2 linked regions of the Macaca mulatta genome follow. The protein of the gene in region 1 purifies or fractionates together with the protein of each later gene. This does not show direct contact. Links are inferred from orthologs where the notes say so. Each region holds a gene or a part of one and is shown in the gene's direction. Other genes may lie near its edges.

What was found.
Region 2: the proteins of HIP1R (region 1) and PICALM fractionate together in Homo sapiens (co-fractionation; 3 studies listed by BioGRID and IntAct, with this or other methods). This does not show direct contact. The link is inferred for Macaca mulatta from reciprocal best matches to the Homo sapiens genes HIP1R and PICALM.

The regions. Positions count from the first base shown.
Region 1 is NC_133416.1:130,251,892-130,258,748, forward strand, and holds the end of HIP1R (huntingtin-interacting protein 1-related protein), read left to right. Parts: intron 1-386; coding exon 387-534; intron 535-625; coding exon 626-712; intron 713-1,115; coding exon 1,116-1,223; intron 1,224-1,334; coding exon 1,335-1,471; intron 1,472-1,697; coding exon 1,698-1,808; exon of another isoform or gene 1,809-1,842; intron 1,843-1,977; exon of another isoform or gene 1,978-2,043; coding exon 2,044-2,102; intron 2,103-2,318; coding exon 2,319-2,349; intron 2,350-2,425; coding exon 2,426-2,488; intron 2,489-2,701; coding exon 2,702-2,802; intron 2,803-2,957; coding exon 2,958-3,063; intron 3,064-3,194; coding exon 3,195-3,318; intron 3,319-3,410; coding exon 3,411-3,472; intron 3,473-3,587; coding exon 3,588-3,794; intron 3,795-4,011; coding exon 4,012-4,059; 3' UTR 4,060-4,183; downstream 4,184-6,857. UniProt on the Homo sapiens protein: Component of clathrin-coated pits and vesicles, that may link the endocytic machinery to the actin cytoskeleton. Binds 3-phosphoinositides (via ENTH domain).
Region 2 is NC_133419.1:86,664,910-86,672,712, reverse strand, and holds the start of PICALM (phosphatidylinositol-binding clathrin assembly protein), read left to right. Parts: upstream 1-3,246; 5' UTR 3,247-3,348; coding exon 3,349-3,478; intron 3,479-7,803. Other genes in the region: uncharacterized protein LOC114672368, read right to left, coding at 2,849-3,145. UniProt on the Homo sapiens protein: Cytoplasmic adapter protein that plays a critical role in clathrin-mediated endocytosis which is important in processes such as internalization of cell receptors, synaptic transmission or removal of apoptotic cells.

The DNA.
Region 1 (6,857 bases):
TGTTCCAGTTTCTCCACATCCTTGCCAACACTTATTATTGTCTTTTTATTTTAGCCATCCTAGTGGGTGTGGAGTGGTTTCTCATGGTCCTGATTTGTGTTTCCCTGATGGCAAAGGGTGCTACATATCTTTTCACGAGCTCACTGGCCATTTGTGTGTCTTTGGAGAAATGTCTTTTAGGACCTTGAGCCCATGTTTTAATTGGGTTATCTTTTTATTATTGAGTTGTGCACCCTGGGAAGCCTCTTTCTAGAAATATCCACCTCCCTGACCAGTGAGGGTCTCAGCTGGGCTCCAACTGGCAGCTCATGGGTCAGTCCAGGGCTGGGGCACATCCTTGGCCTTAGGGAGGGTCTCTAAGCTGCCCTCTTTGCCCCCATTGCCAGGAGTCTCAGGAGCAGGGTCTGCGGCAGCGGCTGCTGGATGAGCAGTTTGCAGTGCTGCAGGGCGCTGCTGCCGAGGCCGCAGGCATCCTGCAGGATGCTGTGAGCAAGCTGGACGACCCCCTGCACCTGCGCTGTACCAGCTCCCCAGGTAGATGGTGGGGCCACACTCAGCCGCTCCTTCCCATCCCCCAGCCCCGAGCAGCGGGTGGCAGGGGCCTCAGTTCTCCTTGTGCTTGCAGACTACCTGGTGAGCAGGGCCCAGGAGGCTTTGGATGCCGTGAGCGCCCTGGAGGAGGGCCACGCCCAGTACCTGACCTCCTTGGCAGGTGAGTGTGGCCCGAGCAGGGCGGAGGCGGGGGCTGTGTCCCAGTTCCAGCGCCCATGGCCACCTCTTGCCTTTTGGGAGGTTTACAGACAGCAGGGACTTCTCTGGGAAGCTAAGCAGATGCCCCCTGCCTGCTCCTTCCCAGGAACCCAGCCCTGCCCTGTGGACAAATAGGCTTTTGTCTCTGGGGCCTGGGCCACCGTGCGTCTGCATGCAGGTGGCAGGGCACTGAAGGGCCCGGAGCCACACACACTGCGGTGTGGTTCCCACTGCCTGCTGGATGTCGGTCTTGCCGAGCCCTCCTTTCCTCTTCCTCCTCCTCCTCCTGGGACCGCCGACAGTGGTCCCAGTGCTCGTGTCTCAGTGTCATCCTCCCCCAACCTTGGCCCCACCCACCCGCACAGACGCCTCCACCCTGGTGGCAGCCCTGACCCGCTTCTCCCACCTGGCTGCGGACACCATTGTCAATGGAGGTGCCACCTCCCACCTGGCCCCCACCGACCCTGCCGACCGTAAGTGGGTCCCGGGATAGCAGGTTCTGTCTGTCTCACTAGCTTGTCTGCCCTGGGAGTCTTTATGGGGCCTGTGGGGGCTGTTCCACTTACGGTCCTTTCTCACCCCAGGCCTGATAGACACCTGCAGGGAGTGTGGGGCCCGCGCTCTGGAGCTCATGGGGCAGCTGCAGGACCGGCAGGCTCTGCGGCACGTGCAGGCCAGCCTGCTGCGGACACCCCTGCAGGGCATCCTTCAGCTGGGCCAGGTGAGGCGCCGCTGAGTGTGGGTTTGGGGGACTTGGGCCTGCCTCTGACCTCTGCACCCGCCTCTGGGTTGGCTGAACAGGTGTTTGTGTGTGGAGCCTGCAGCCTCAGGACACAGGGTGGGAACCATGCACCCTCCTTGGTCCCTGTGGCCCCCACCTCTTTCCCAGGCTGCCCGTGGGCTTGCGGGGATGGAGGCTACCCCTGTCTGACTCCCATCCTCACCAGGAACTGACACCCAAGAGCCTAGATGTGCGGCAGGAGGAGCTGGGGGCCATGGTTGACAAGGAGATGGCGACCACGTCTGCAGCCATTGAAGATGCCGTGCGGAGGATCGAAGTGAGCACGGGATCTGGGGACTCCCCTCATTCCTGTGGAGCTTTGGGGGCCGAAGGCCCCAACTTGGCTGCGTACAGGCTGCACCCACTCCTGCTCTCAGCCTCCAGGCAGGGCACAGATGGTGTTTTCCAGGGGCCTGTGAGGTCAGAGCTGAGAGGGCAGGAGGCAGCCCTGGCTTTCCCAGGACCACAGTCCCCTCCTCCCAGCCAGCTCACCGCTCTGTTCTTGGGTGCAGGACATGATGAACCAGGCACGACACGCCAGCTCGGGGGTGAAGCTGGAGGTGAACGAGAGGTGAGCCCCCCTTCTGTCCCCCAGGCCCAACCTGAGGGGGGCTCCCCATGGCCCCTGAGGTTCTGCCCCTAACTGTTTTGCTCATGGGAAAGGAAGGCCTGGCTCAGAGCAGACACTCCCTCCCTACCTGCTGAGCCCTGCTGTGGCCAGGCCCACCATGGTGTCATGTGGGCCGCCCTGCAGAGCAGCAGCCAAGTCTCCCCTTCTCTCCCCCAGGATCCTCAACTCCTGCACAGACCTGATGAAGGTGAGGGGGCTGTGACCCTGGGTGGGGGGTTCTGCACCTGGAGGACCACCAGTCATTGCTGTCTTGGTCTTGGCAGGCCATCCGGCTCCTGGTGATGACATCCACTAGCCTACAGAAGGAGATCGTGGAGAGCGGCAGGGTGAGGGGCCAGCTGGCAGCAGGGCACAGTCCGCAAGGAACCTGACCCCCAGCCCAGGCCACCCTGGGCATGAGGCCCCCCCACCCCCTACCACAGGGAGGCCTGAGGGATGCACCCTATTGCCAGAATGAGGTGAGAAGGGCCCCTGAGGACCCCTTTCCACTTCGGTGTCCTTGACTGGCACGTCCTGCCCTGTTCTCCCGTCGCCACTAGGGGGCAGCCACGCAGCAGGAATTTTACGCCAAGAACTCGCGCTGGACCGAAGGCCTCATCTCGGCCTCCAAGGCTGTGGGCTGGGGAGCCACGCAGCTGGTGTAGGTTGCCCTGGGTAGGGATGGGCGGGGGGCTGCTTCCTGCCAGTTGGAACAGTTTGGGGGTCAACAGGGTGCGGAGAGTAGAGGGGGTGTGGAGTGGCACCAGCTGTCCATGGGGTCAGAGACTCTGGCCCTGACCGGCCCTTGCCCCTCAGGGAGGCGGCTGACAAGGTGGTGCTTCACATGGGCAAGTATGAGGAGCTCATCGTCTGCTCCCACGAGATCGCCGCCAGCACGGCCCAGCTGGTGGCAGCCTCCAAGGTGAGCTTGCACGCTGACAGCGGCACACCAGGCTCTGGGCCCAACTTGGCCTGGGCTGTGGCTGCCAAGCCCAGGCCTGCTGCTGTCCTGAGCTGGGAGACCTGGGCCCACCCTGACCCCTCGCCCCTTAGGTGAAGGCTGATAAGCACAGCCCCCACCTGAGCCGCCTGCAGGAATGCTCCCGCACAGTCAATGAGAGGGCTGCCAATGTCGTGGCCTCCACCAAGTCAGGCCAGGAGCAGATTGAGGACAGAGGTGAGTGCCAGGTGCCAAGTGGGGGCTGCTGGCTCCCGAGACTGAATGGGGGTGGGTGCCCAGATGCTCACCACCTTGCCCTCCGACCACAGACACCATGGATTTCTCTGGCTTGTCCCTCATCAAGCTGAAGAAGCAGGAGATGGAGACCCAGGTAGGTGCCCATGGCTGCTCCATGACCTCTGAGCTCATCCCTCAGGCGAAACCTGGACCCAGGAGAGGGCTCCCTGGGGAGTCTGAGCTGGGTTGAGCAGGCTGTGTGGCTACAGGTGCGTGTCCTGGAGCTGGAGAAGACGCTGGAGGCTGAACGCATGCGGCTGGGGGAGTTGCGGAAGCAGCACTACGTGCTGGCTGGGGCATCAGGCAGCCCTGGAGAGGAGGCGGCCAGCCAGCCCAGCGCTGCCCCCCGAAGTGTAACCACCAAGAAACCACCGCTGGCCCAGAAGCCCAGCATGGCCCCCAGACAGGACCACCAGGTGCCATCTGCACTGGGATGGGGGAGTTCCTGGAGGGGGGTGCCGTGCCCGGCCCCGGAGGGGCATGTAGTGCACGTCCCTGGGGAAGTCAGGGACCACTGAAAACCCCTGGCATGGCATGACACGGCATGCAGGGAGGAGCAGCTCGCTCAAGGGAGAGGTGGGGCCCCAGGAGCCTGGCTGTGACCACTGACCCCTCCTCCTTTAACCCCTGCAGCTTGACAAAAAGGATGGCATCTACCCAGCTCAACTTGTGAACTACTAGGCCCCCCAGGGGTCCAGCAGGGCGGCTGGTAGATAGGCCTGGGCCTCTGCGACTGCCCTGACAGGACCGAGGGGCCTTGCCCCTCCACCTGGTGCCCAAGCCTTCCGCCCCACCGTTCTGATCAGTGTCCTCAAGGCCCCTGGCCCTTACTGAACCTGCAGGGGCCTGGGCCATGTGGGTGGTGCTTCTGGATGTGAGTCTCTTATTTATCTCAGAAGGAACTTTTGGGTGCAGCCAGGACGCAGTAGGCTTGAGCGTCAACTCTTCAGGAAATGCGTGTTTTTAATATTCCGAGCTTGAGCTCTTCTTCCTACGTTTGTATTCAGCACACTGGGAAACGGGGCCAGTGTGGGGCTCCCTGCCTTCCGGACTCCTGAAGGTTGTGGATGGACGGAAGGCACACAGTCCGTGCTGGCTAATGGGACGAGGGTCAGGCATCCTGTCTGTGGCCTTCTGGGGCACCGATTCTACCAGGCCCTCCAGCTGCGTGGCCTCCGAAGACCAGGCTCTGGGTGGGCTGGAGGAATGTTGCCCGTTACTCCTCAGGCCTGGCCCTTGGGCCTCCGTGATGGGAGCCCCCAGGAGGGGTCAGATGCTGGAAGGGGCCGCTTTCTGGGGAGCGAGGTGAGACACAGCGGCCCAGGCGCTGCCTTCACGCCTGGAGTTTCCATTTCCAGCTGGAATAGGCAACCACCCCCATTTCCTGTTTTCCATTCCCCCGTTCTGGCCGCGCCCCACTGCCCACCTGAAGGGGTGGTTTCCAGCCCTCCGGAGAGTGGGCTTGGTCCTAGGCCCTCCAGCTCAGCCAGAAAAAGCCCAGAAATCCAGCTGCTGGACCAGGGCCCTCAGGGAGGGGACCCTGCGGCTAGAGCGAGCTAGGCCCTGGCTTTGCCCATCATATTTGAACGAATATGTGTCCCTTGAGCCTGAGGGGAGTGGCAGGAGGAGTGGGACCAGGCTGGGAGGGCAGAGCCAGCAGCTGCCATGTCCTCCTGTCCTCACCCCCACCCCAGGCCCCAGCCCTTTAGCCCTTCACCCTGTGCTCTGGAAAGGCTACCACATACTGGCCAAGGTCAGGAGCAGTAAGAATGAGCCAGAACCAGCCCCTTGGCTTTGTGTGAGCATTTCCTCCTGTTGAAGTGTTGTGCTGGCAATAAAATGCACTTTGACTGTTGTCACTGATGCCCAGAGGGGCTGTGCCTGGCTCTTCATTCCTTCAGGGACGCATGTTCCCTTGTCTAGGCCCTGGCCAGGCGCTGGGACGGGGACCCCATCGTGTCTGCATTTAGTGCTAGAATACTCAGGACTGCAGAAAAGCTCAGCAGGGCTGTCACAGGCTGTGCGTGTCTGCCTTGCATTCTGGGAGATTTATGGGCCTTGGGGCCCTTCTTTTATACAGGAGGCCAAGAGCCAGCTGCCTCCACAGAGGCCACCTCCACTCCCAGCCTTGATGCCCACAGCTTCCCTGGGGTTCCCAGCAGTTGCTGACCCCCTCAGTGTGTGTGAGACCATGGCTGACAGTTCCTAAGGTGGAGACCCTGACTCCCAGCTGGCTTGGACTTGAGCCATGACCACACACAGCCTTTGCACTTACCGGAAACCTGGAAGGGCATTCAGTCCCTGGGTGTGTGGCAGCCTCACAAGCACCCACTTTACCCAGGAGCACATGCCAGAGGGAAGGCTGAGGTGGGTGAGCTCACCCTGTCCCACCCCCTTCCAAGATTACTGGCATTTATGGAGAAACAGGACAGGGTGGGTCAGGGGAGAGAAAAGGCCCCTTGGCTGGCTCCTATATGGCCTCAGACAAGCCTCCCACCTGTGTCCACGGTCTCCTGGAGGGTGAAGTGGGGCCTCAGCTGGGGCTGCGTAGCCAGGGTGCTTGTGCCAGGTGGCTAGGACCATGGATGTGAAAGGCCTTGCAAGCGGACCACAAGGTCAGGCCCCCGTGCCTGGCTCTTGTTTACACGGCAAGATGGCTTCAGAAAACACTAATGGAACTGATTCTCCACCAGATACAGACCAGTGAAAAGCCACAGGCACTGACACCACTTGACTGATCATTCTTGAGTTCTCAATGACCAAACTTTTTGAGATGGAATCTTGCTGTCACCCAGGCGGCAATACAGTGGTGTGCCTCGGCTCACTATAACCTCCTCCCGGGTTCAAGAAACTCTGCCTCAGCCTCCCGAGTAGCTGGGATTACAGGTGTGCACCACCATGCCTAATTTTTGTATTTTTAGTAGAGATGAGGCTTTGCCATGTTGGCCAGGCTGGTCTCGAACTCCTGATCTCAAGTGATCTGCCCCCCTCAGTCTCCCAAACTGCTGGGATTACAGGCCACTGCGCCCAGCCAAAACCTTTCATTGGAAAGGCTGCCTCGTGTGGAGCTAGAAAGCAGGAGCTTGGGGTCTGCTCCTGCTTCTCCACCCTCTTGGACCTGTCACTGCCTCTCCCTGGTCCTCCTCGTGAACGGCGCACACAGCGGGAGGAGAGGCAAGACTGTGAAGTCCAGCAGCCTCACTGAAGTGGACAGCAGATTTGGCTGTAAGCTTCCTGGCAGTCACTGGGAAGACCAACTATCAGACACCTTTTCTTTAAGGCAAACTGGCTCCTCAGGAAATGCTTCCCTCTTCCTCACAGAAGAACCACAGAAATTTCTCCTTCACATCCTCATAGGACAATGATGTGCCAGGAATGGCCGCTGTTAGAGGAGACAGCAACAGGTGAGCTTGCTCTCATCTCAGTTCCTCAAGTCCCTCGCAGGGGCACTGTGACTCAGATACACAGCTCAGCTGGGA
Region 2 (7,803 bases), on another chromosome or scaffold:
GTCAATCACAATAACAATTAGATAACAGAAGGATATATAAGATATGAGTAACAAAAGGAAACCAGTAACTGCTTATTGGGATGTGAAATAGCATGACATCCAAGTATGTCAAGTAGTGTGATATTGGCTGGAGTGCATTTAAAGGAATCAGAAGAGATGAGGCTTAACAAGTAGCAGGTAGGTAGGGGAATTTAGAGGAATGGGAAGAGACAAGGCTCAACAGGTTTAGGTGGCCATATGAGTTGGCATATGTGGAACTTCAGGTAAGATATTTCTTGAATAGACCGAGGAAACTGACACAGAGAAAACTTAAGTATATAAGATAAAGTAGGTCAGTAATGCCTATTCTTAGCTCTAATTCCCCATCTTCTTCTAAATTGCTCCATATATTTCATTTCACAATTACACATAAACCTCTACAACAGTCACTGATTATTTACATACTTAGAAACTTCTAAAACGGGGCCAGATCATGAAGAACCATGTATGCCATGTTGAGAGTCCTTAATTTCATCCTTTAGGGTAGCGATGGGGGAGCTAATGGAAGATTTTAAAGCAAAGAAAAGACAATCACATTTTAGTTTCAGAAATATCTGAATTGGAGAGTCAGGGTATAAAAGACACGGAATCAGCTAAGAAGTTACTAAAATAGTCTAGTACAACAGAGATCATAAAGGCTGGAACTAAGGCAACAGAAGTGGTGTTAGAGATGGGATGTGTTTGAGAGTAGGTTAGGCTTGATGAGGGAAATAAAACAGAAGGAGAACTCTGAATCACAGCTTTCTGAGGGGAGCTTCTGGGCATGTGGTGAGGCCATTAACAGATACAGGGAACAGTGTGGATTAAAGATGTAGGATGCTGGGCAAGGGCAAGAGAAGTTCAGTTTTGGCCATGGTGAGTTGGCATCTGTGGAACTTCAGGTAGAGATATTTCCTGAAGAGACCAAGGAAACTGACATAGAGGACACTTAAACATGTAAGACAAAATAGGTCAGTAGTGTCTATCCTTAGAACAATTCCCCATCTTCTTCTAAATTTCTCCATAGATTTCAGTTCACAACTACACATAATCTTCTTCAATGATTACTGATTATTTACATAGTTAGAAACTTCTACCATGTATACTTGGAAAAAATAAAATGATATTTCTAACAGCAGCCTGTTAATAGGGTAAACATGTCAACAATTTTTGTCATAAAAGTGGTCTGAAAGAACCTCTTTGGTAAAAGTAGCAGTGTAATACTTTCCTGTTATGTACTTAGGAATGACTGACATTTTCCCTAAGGATAAAATATTCACCTGTTGATAGCTAGACCATGTTAGTGTTGACCTCAGTTTGGGGTTTACCAATGCAGAGGCTCAAGCCAACCAGTAACTTATACAGTGGAACCCATAGACCAGTAGCAATGATGGCTGATAACATGTCTTGAAAATTTGGTAATTCCACTGCCCAATGGAGATGGGGCAGCAAACTGGGCACCAAACCACAGATGGATTGCAGTACAGTGAAGGAAGTCATTATAGTTTTGTGAAATTGGAGGCTGGCTTGACAAAGATGAAGCCCGCTGGGATTAAGAACTGTGTGTTCTTGGCAAGAGGATGTTGCTGCAGAATTTCACCAGCCATAGTGGGGAAAAAAGGGGGGTGAGGGGGTGTGGGGAATATGAAATGGGAGACCACAAAATTCCTGATATGATACATAAAATGTTAAATATCTATCAGCTTTGCATCCTTTGAGAGTCACCAGATTGAAGCACAGTATTTTGGATTTGGCTGGCAGATGGTGTACACAGACTTTCTGAGAATGTTAGCATTTCATTTGAAACTAGCAAGATTACATGTGACTATCATGGTAACTTAACACTCAAGAGATTTTTCAACTTATCCCTAACCCTGGGTTAAATGTAGAGGCTCTAATAACATATAAAAGGCTTTGTTATGTATGGTCTGGGTCTCATTCAATAGTATTTCAGGATATAATACTTCTTTTAAAATGTCCACAGGGCAGTGTCAACGTCTTTCCATGGAAATCTGGCTCACCCAATAAGAGAAAAGAGGCCAAGGAAAGAAAGACTAAACCAAGAGAGATGGCAGGCAGCGATGTCTGGACTATTTGAATAGGACTTCTCCATTTACCGCCCCTCTCACTTCCTTCTATGGTCTGGACCTTTAATCACCACAGCAGTCAGCCATGTAGGGTCAAGCTAATCGCTGTTGACATCATCCTACCACTTCCCTTTTCAAATTCCAGTGAAGCTATGTGTTTCCTGTCCTATTCCACACCCTAGAGAATGAATACGGGCCAGCTAGTATCTAAATTTAGAATGGCAGCAACGTGTCGGGTTTTCGGAGTAGAGATAAACAAAACCAGGTGACATTTCCAAGCCTCCCAAGGAAAGGGGGTAAAAAAAACCTTTCTGGGGTAAGTAAATAAGGAGAGCTTCAATAGTTCCACGGTAGAGAGAGGCCTGCTGGCAGGTTCAGAAAATAGGCCGCCTGGAACCTTCTCCTTTAAGCCAGGAGGGCGGCTTTGGGAGGCGTCTCGAAATACATTTCTTGACTCTGCTAGGAAAGCTCGGGGAGCCAGAGGCCTAATACCCCCGACTTCAGGGGAAGCTGTGACGGCAGCGGCACCTCCTTTGTCAGGCTGTTGGTTTCAACCACAGACACGAGGACACACTTGAGTTGGGGGTAAGTGGAGAAGCCTGCCGCCCCGCCCCCAGCACGCCACCCTCGCCATTCCTCTCCCGCCCCGCCCCCCGTCTGTGACCCCGCGGGCCGAGCCTCAGGCGACCTGTTGGCAGGGAGAGTCACGTGACGCGCCAGCTGCGCACTCCCCTCGGGCGGACCTCCTGTTGCGCCTGCCTGGCGAGTTCCATCACGTAACGCGCGGGCGCCGCCCCGCTCTTCCCTCGTTGAGCGAGGGAGGGCGGGCGTCGAAGAGGAAAGGGAAGGGGAAAGGGGCGGGAGAAGGGAGGAGGGGCGGTGTCCGAGTCACGTGACCCGGGGGCAGCCCGGAAAGCTCCGAGGAGGAGCCTGGCGCCGCCATTTTCCTGCAGCTGCCTGTCCCTCTTACCCTGCCCGGCTCCAGCTGACCAGGGAAGGGGTGGGCTGAACTGAGGCGGGGGCAAGGGAGTGCCCGACATCTTGTCCGACTCCGCGGGTGATACAAGCCGGTTCTCTCTGGACTGGGTGGCAGCGCGCGGCCCCGAACCGCGCCCCAGGCCGGCAGGCGGGGAAGGAGCCGGTGGGGGTAGGGGGTGCGGTGGGGGGTGGGGACCCTCCGGCTCTTGGGGGTCCCAGTCCCCGCCGGCTGCTGAGCGGGTGGGGTGGTGGAGGAACTGCAGAGATGTCCGGCCAGAGCCTGACGGACCGAATCACTGCCGCCCAGCACAGTGTCACGGGCTCTGCCGTATCCAAGACAGTATGCAAGGCCACGACCCACGAGATCATGGGGCCCAAGAAAAAGCACCTGGACTGTGAGTGAAACCGACCGCGGCCCCCCTCCCAGGCGCCCGCGCGACCCGCGTCCTTCTCTCCCTCTCTTTTCTTTCCCCCGTCTGCTGCCTCTTCCCTCCCTGCGTCTTCTCTGGCACGGCGGGTCCTGTGCCCGTTGGGCTGTGTTCTTTTGCTTCCATCACACCTGCCTTCACGGCCTCCGCTCCCCATCTCAAAATCTGACAAGCCAGTCCCCTCCCTATTCCTAGGGGACCCTCGCCTCCTGTCCGGTGCGCTACCACACCCCATCATACCCAACCAACTTGCCTCCCCACCTGGCTTCGCACCCCCTACCCGTCTCCACTGCAGCCTTCTGCTCTCCCTTCCCACCCGTCCGGTGCCGCCTTGTCGCCCTCGCCTGAGCGTCTGCCCAGCCCCATTGTTTCTTCATCAGCCTTCTTCGGGTTTCCGCAAACGCCTGGTTCCTTGCACCCAAATCCCTGTTATCCCTCCGGGCTGCCTCCCTTGAAGTGATCCCCCACTTCCTTTGCTCCACTAGCTGCTTCTCCCATCCGTTCCTGGCTTTCTCGTCTACCTTCCCTCCCGCGTTTGGGTTACCTTTCATCGCCTCTTTAGTAGCTTCAGTGTAGTTTTTTTTGACTCATTTTATTTTAAATACCATACCCACTTACCCGACTTTTATTTCAGATTACCTTCTTTGTGAGATTGAAAGTAAAAGGATTCAATTTGGTGTAGGGAAAGCTTTCTGGAAAGTTGGGATTTTTATTTGCCTCTGGTGGAATTTAATCATTGTGTTGTCCGTACTTTTGACTGGGGTGAGTTTGTGACTGTCAACTCTGCTCCCCACCTTTTCAAATGGGGAGCTGGAAAAAGGCTTTTTGCTGATACTCTTATCAGTTCCCGGAACTGTTAACTCTGGCGGCTTGAATTCAGAAGCTTGAGTGTTAAGCGTAGACTGTTGGAATTCCAAATGGATTGATAAATTTACTTACAAATAACATACATCCCTTAAAAAACATTGGCAAGATGATGTTTGATGGTGCTTGAGTTTGGATACGTTTTAATTATGCCAGTTACCTTTTGAGGAACCAGCTTCTCTTACACGACACAGTATTCGTCCATTCGCTAACGTAGGAGCTGACTCCTCGGAACTTTTTTCTAACCTGGAAGTCACCTGTAATATCCTCCTTTTTCTTTGCGCTCTTTTACCTCAGGGTACAAAGCTCATTGGATCACTCAAGCCAATGGAGCTTAGACCTGAAACTTTTCAGGGAAAAATAGGGAAATAGTCACGATAAATAAGTTCCCTTTTTAAATGACTGAACACATTAGTCTGACTGGCTTTCATCATACATGAAAGTTACTTTGCTTTACTGTTTGAAGCAAGAGTGAGCATGCCCTGAAAGATAATTCACTGTCTGGAAGCCTGTTTTGATTTCTCATTTGGACTTTGGCCGTAAAGTTTGCACTTTAAAAAAAAATGTACGAAATGTAAATTCTTCCAAGTTACTGTGCTCATGAATACTGTTAGAACAAGTTTTTGCTACACAGAAGCCCATTATTCGTTGTGATTGTTCCTCCACTGTGGAAAAAGTTTTAAATAAAAAGCATTAGTGCTTGGTTCTTTCAGATATGCGTTCAAGCTGCTTTTAAACTCTCAGTCCTTGTTTGTCTTAGAGAATGGAGAATATATTTAAATGGTGACACTTATAAACAGAAAACTTTTTAAAATGCATCGTAAAGCCATATGTGATTTTTTGATTATCTGATATGTGTAGTAGACGTTTCTACTATTTAGGCTCTTCAAGTGACTACTTGGTTTGCCCTACCAAATCTTACAGTTTGCCCTGACACTGTGTTAATTCTTCTGTTAGTTGTTTTTTTTGTTTTGTTTTGTTTTGTTTTGTTTTGTTTTTGGTATGGGAGTATGAAGAAACTACTTGTGACTGTGTGAACTATTTTCCTCTTTCCTCATTCAAAATAATAATCTATAAGTCTTTTAAAAGTTTTTTATAAGGGTTTGTGTCTTGTTTCAAATGTACCAGTGGTTCTTTTAACGCATTGCCAAAAAGAGGAGAAAATAGGTGGGGTTGGAAGAGTGCTATTTGCATGTGGTTTCATAAATGTTATTAGCTATTTCTCTTTTTTTAACCTGTACTGCAGATGCTAACTGGGATTAGGTTTGGAGGATAATCTTGCATTTGTCGTTCTTTTTCTCTTCCACTTCTGTTTTTACAAGCTCTCACCTTTTTGGAACTTGAGTATACCTGGTAGTATTTGATTTAAAAATATATGTGTAGATAGTGTACTTCTATTTCTTTTCAATGAGGTTTTAAAATACTGGAATACTATTTTCCCTACATTGTTGTTTAAAATGTCCTGTAATCAGTTCTCACTAATGAAATACCTTTATCTTAGGTAAAGTCTGACCAGTGAGTGGTTTACTAAACAAATACCTTCCTTGCACACACTAACATGCTTTGAGAAAATTTAAGAGTCTTCTACGGACAGTTCATGGTGTTGACATCATGAACTTTAGGCTTTAATACAGAAACCTGTCATTTCAAGTACTTTTTCGTCTTTTAGAAGTTTTTCTTTATAGTGAAAGCTTAGTTTATGTGCACCTTTTAATGCCTCTAGCAACTGATGCTTATTTATATGAATCTAATGAAAATGATTTCATTTTAAAATGGCAGCATTTAACAAAAAATATGCTTAGGCCTGTTGGTTTTCCTATGAGCTCTTAGAGTGTGGAGGTGGTTTCTGTGCAGTTTCTCGCCAAGATCTTTCCATATTAGGAAGTGATTATTAATAATCCATGAATTATAGCTTAATTTATACTACATTATATATTTATTGAAGAAAGATCTTTTTGCTTTGCTTATACTGTAGGTGTTAGTGGATAATAACGTTGACTAGCATCCCTAGTGTGAAAGCGTTGTCGAACTTGGAATATGTCGGTAAAAATAAACACGATTTCCATTTAATTTTAGGCTTTTAGTAGCCATAATCAAGGTAGAGGCATAGCAGTCCTTATATTTGAAGGACTTCAGTTTTCCAGGCACTTTCTCATCATCTCATTTAATCCTGTCTCACAGCTGCAGGTGGGGGCAATTCATATATATAGAAAGTAGCCTCTAATTCTGTTTAGCAGTATAGAATGCTTAAAAGAACCATAATTATTGCAGGAGAGAAAAAAAACATTTTCTTTCTTTCTTTCTTTCTTTTTTTTTTTTTTTTTTTGAGACGGAGTCTTGGAGTCTCTCTCTGTCCCCAGGCTCGGGTGCAGTGGTGCAATCTTGACTCACTGCAGCCTCCGCCTCCCAGGTCCATGCAATTCTCCTGCCTCAGCCTCTTGAGTAGCTGGGACTACAGGCGCACGCCACCACACCCAGCTAATTTTTGTATTTTTAGTAGAGACAGGGTTTCACCATGTTGGCCAGGATGGTCTGGGTCTCTTGACCACGTGATCCTCCCGCCTCTGCCTCCCAAAGGGCTGGGATTACAGATGTGAGCCACCGTGCCTGGCCCACAATTTTTAATTTATAACTTCTTAATATATAAATCATTTTTATCTGATCTTACAATCTTTAGTCTTAACCCACCCTTTTTTTTAATATATAGAGTCTTGCTCTGTCACTGGTATGCAGTGGCAGCATCACAGCTCACTGCAGCCTCATCCTTCTCAGGCTCAAGAGATCCTCCCACCTCAGTCTCCCAAGTAGCTGGGACTACAGGCATGTGCCACTACGCCTGGTTAAAGAAACTTTTTATTTTTGGAGAGATGAGGGTCTCCCTATGTGGCCCAGGCTGGTCTTGAACTCCTGGGCTCAAGTAATCCTCCTGCCTCAGCCTCCCAGAGTGCTGGGATTACGGGTGTGAGCCAGCATGCCTGTCCCTTATCCTATTTTATGATACGAATTCTTAATTTTCTTTATTCTTATTTACTATCCTTGGATGTTTATATTTTGACATATTTCACTGAAATGTAATATTTGTACTAAAGGCTGTAATGTCTCCTTTTTTTTTTTTTTTTTTTTTTTTTAATGAGGTGGGTCACACCCTGTTGCCCAGGCTGGAGTGCAGTGGTGCAGTCACATCTCACTGCAGCCTTGACATCCGGGTTCAGACAATCTTCCTGAGTAGCCGGGACCATAGGCACCTGCTACCACGCACAGCTAATTTTTAATTTTTGTATAGACAGGGTCTCCTTATGTTGCTCAGACAGGTCTCAAACTCCGGGGCTCAAGGATCCTCTCTACCAGCTGAGCCTCCTAAAGTGCCAGGATTATAGGTGTGAGTCACCATATCTTGTATGTCTCTGTTTTTTAATTCATATTTTTCC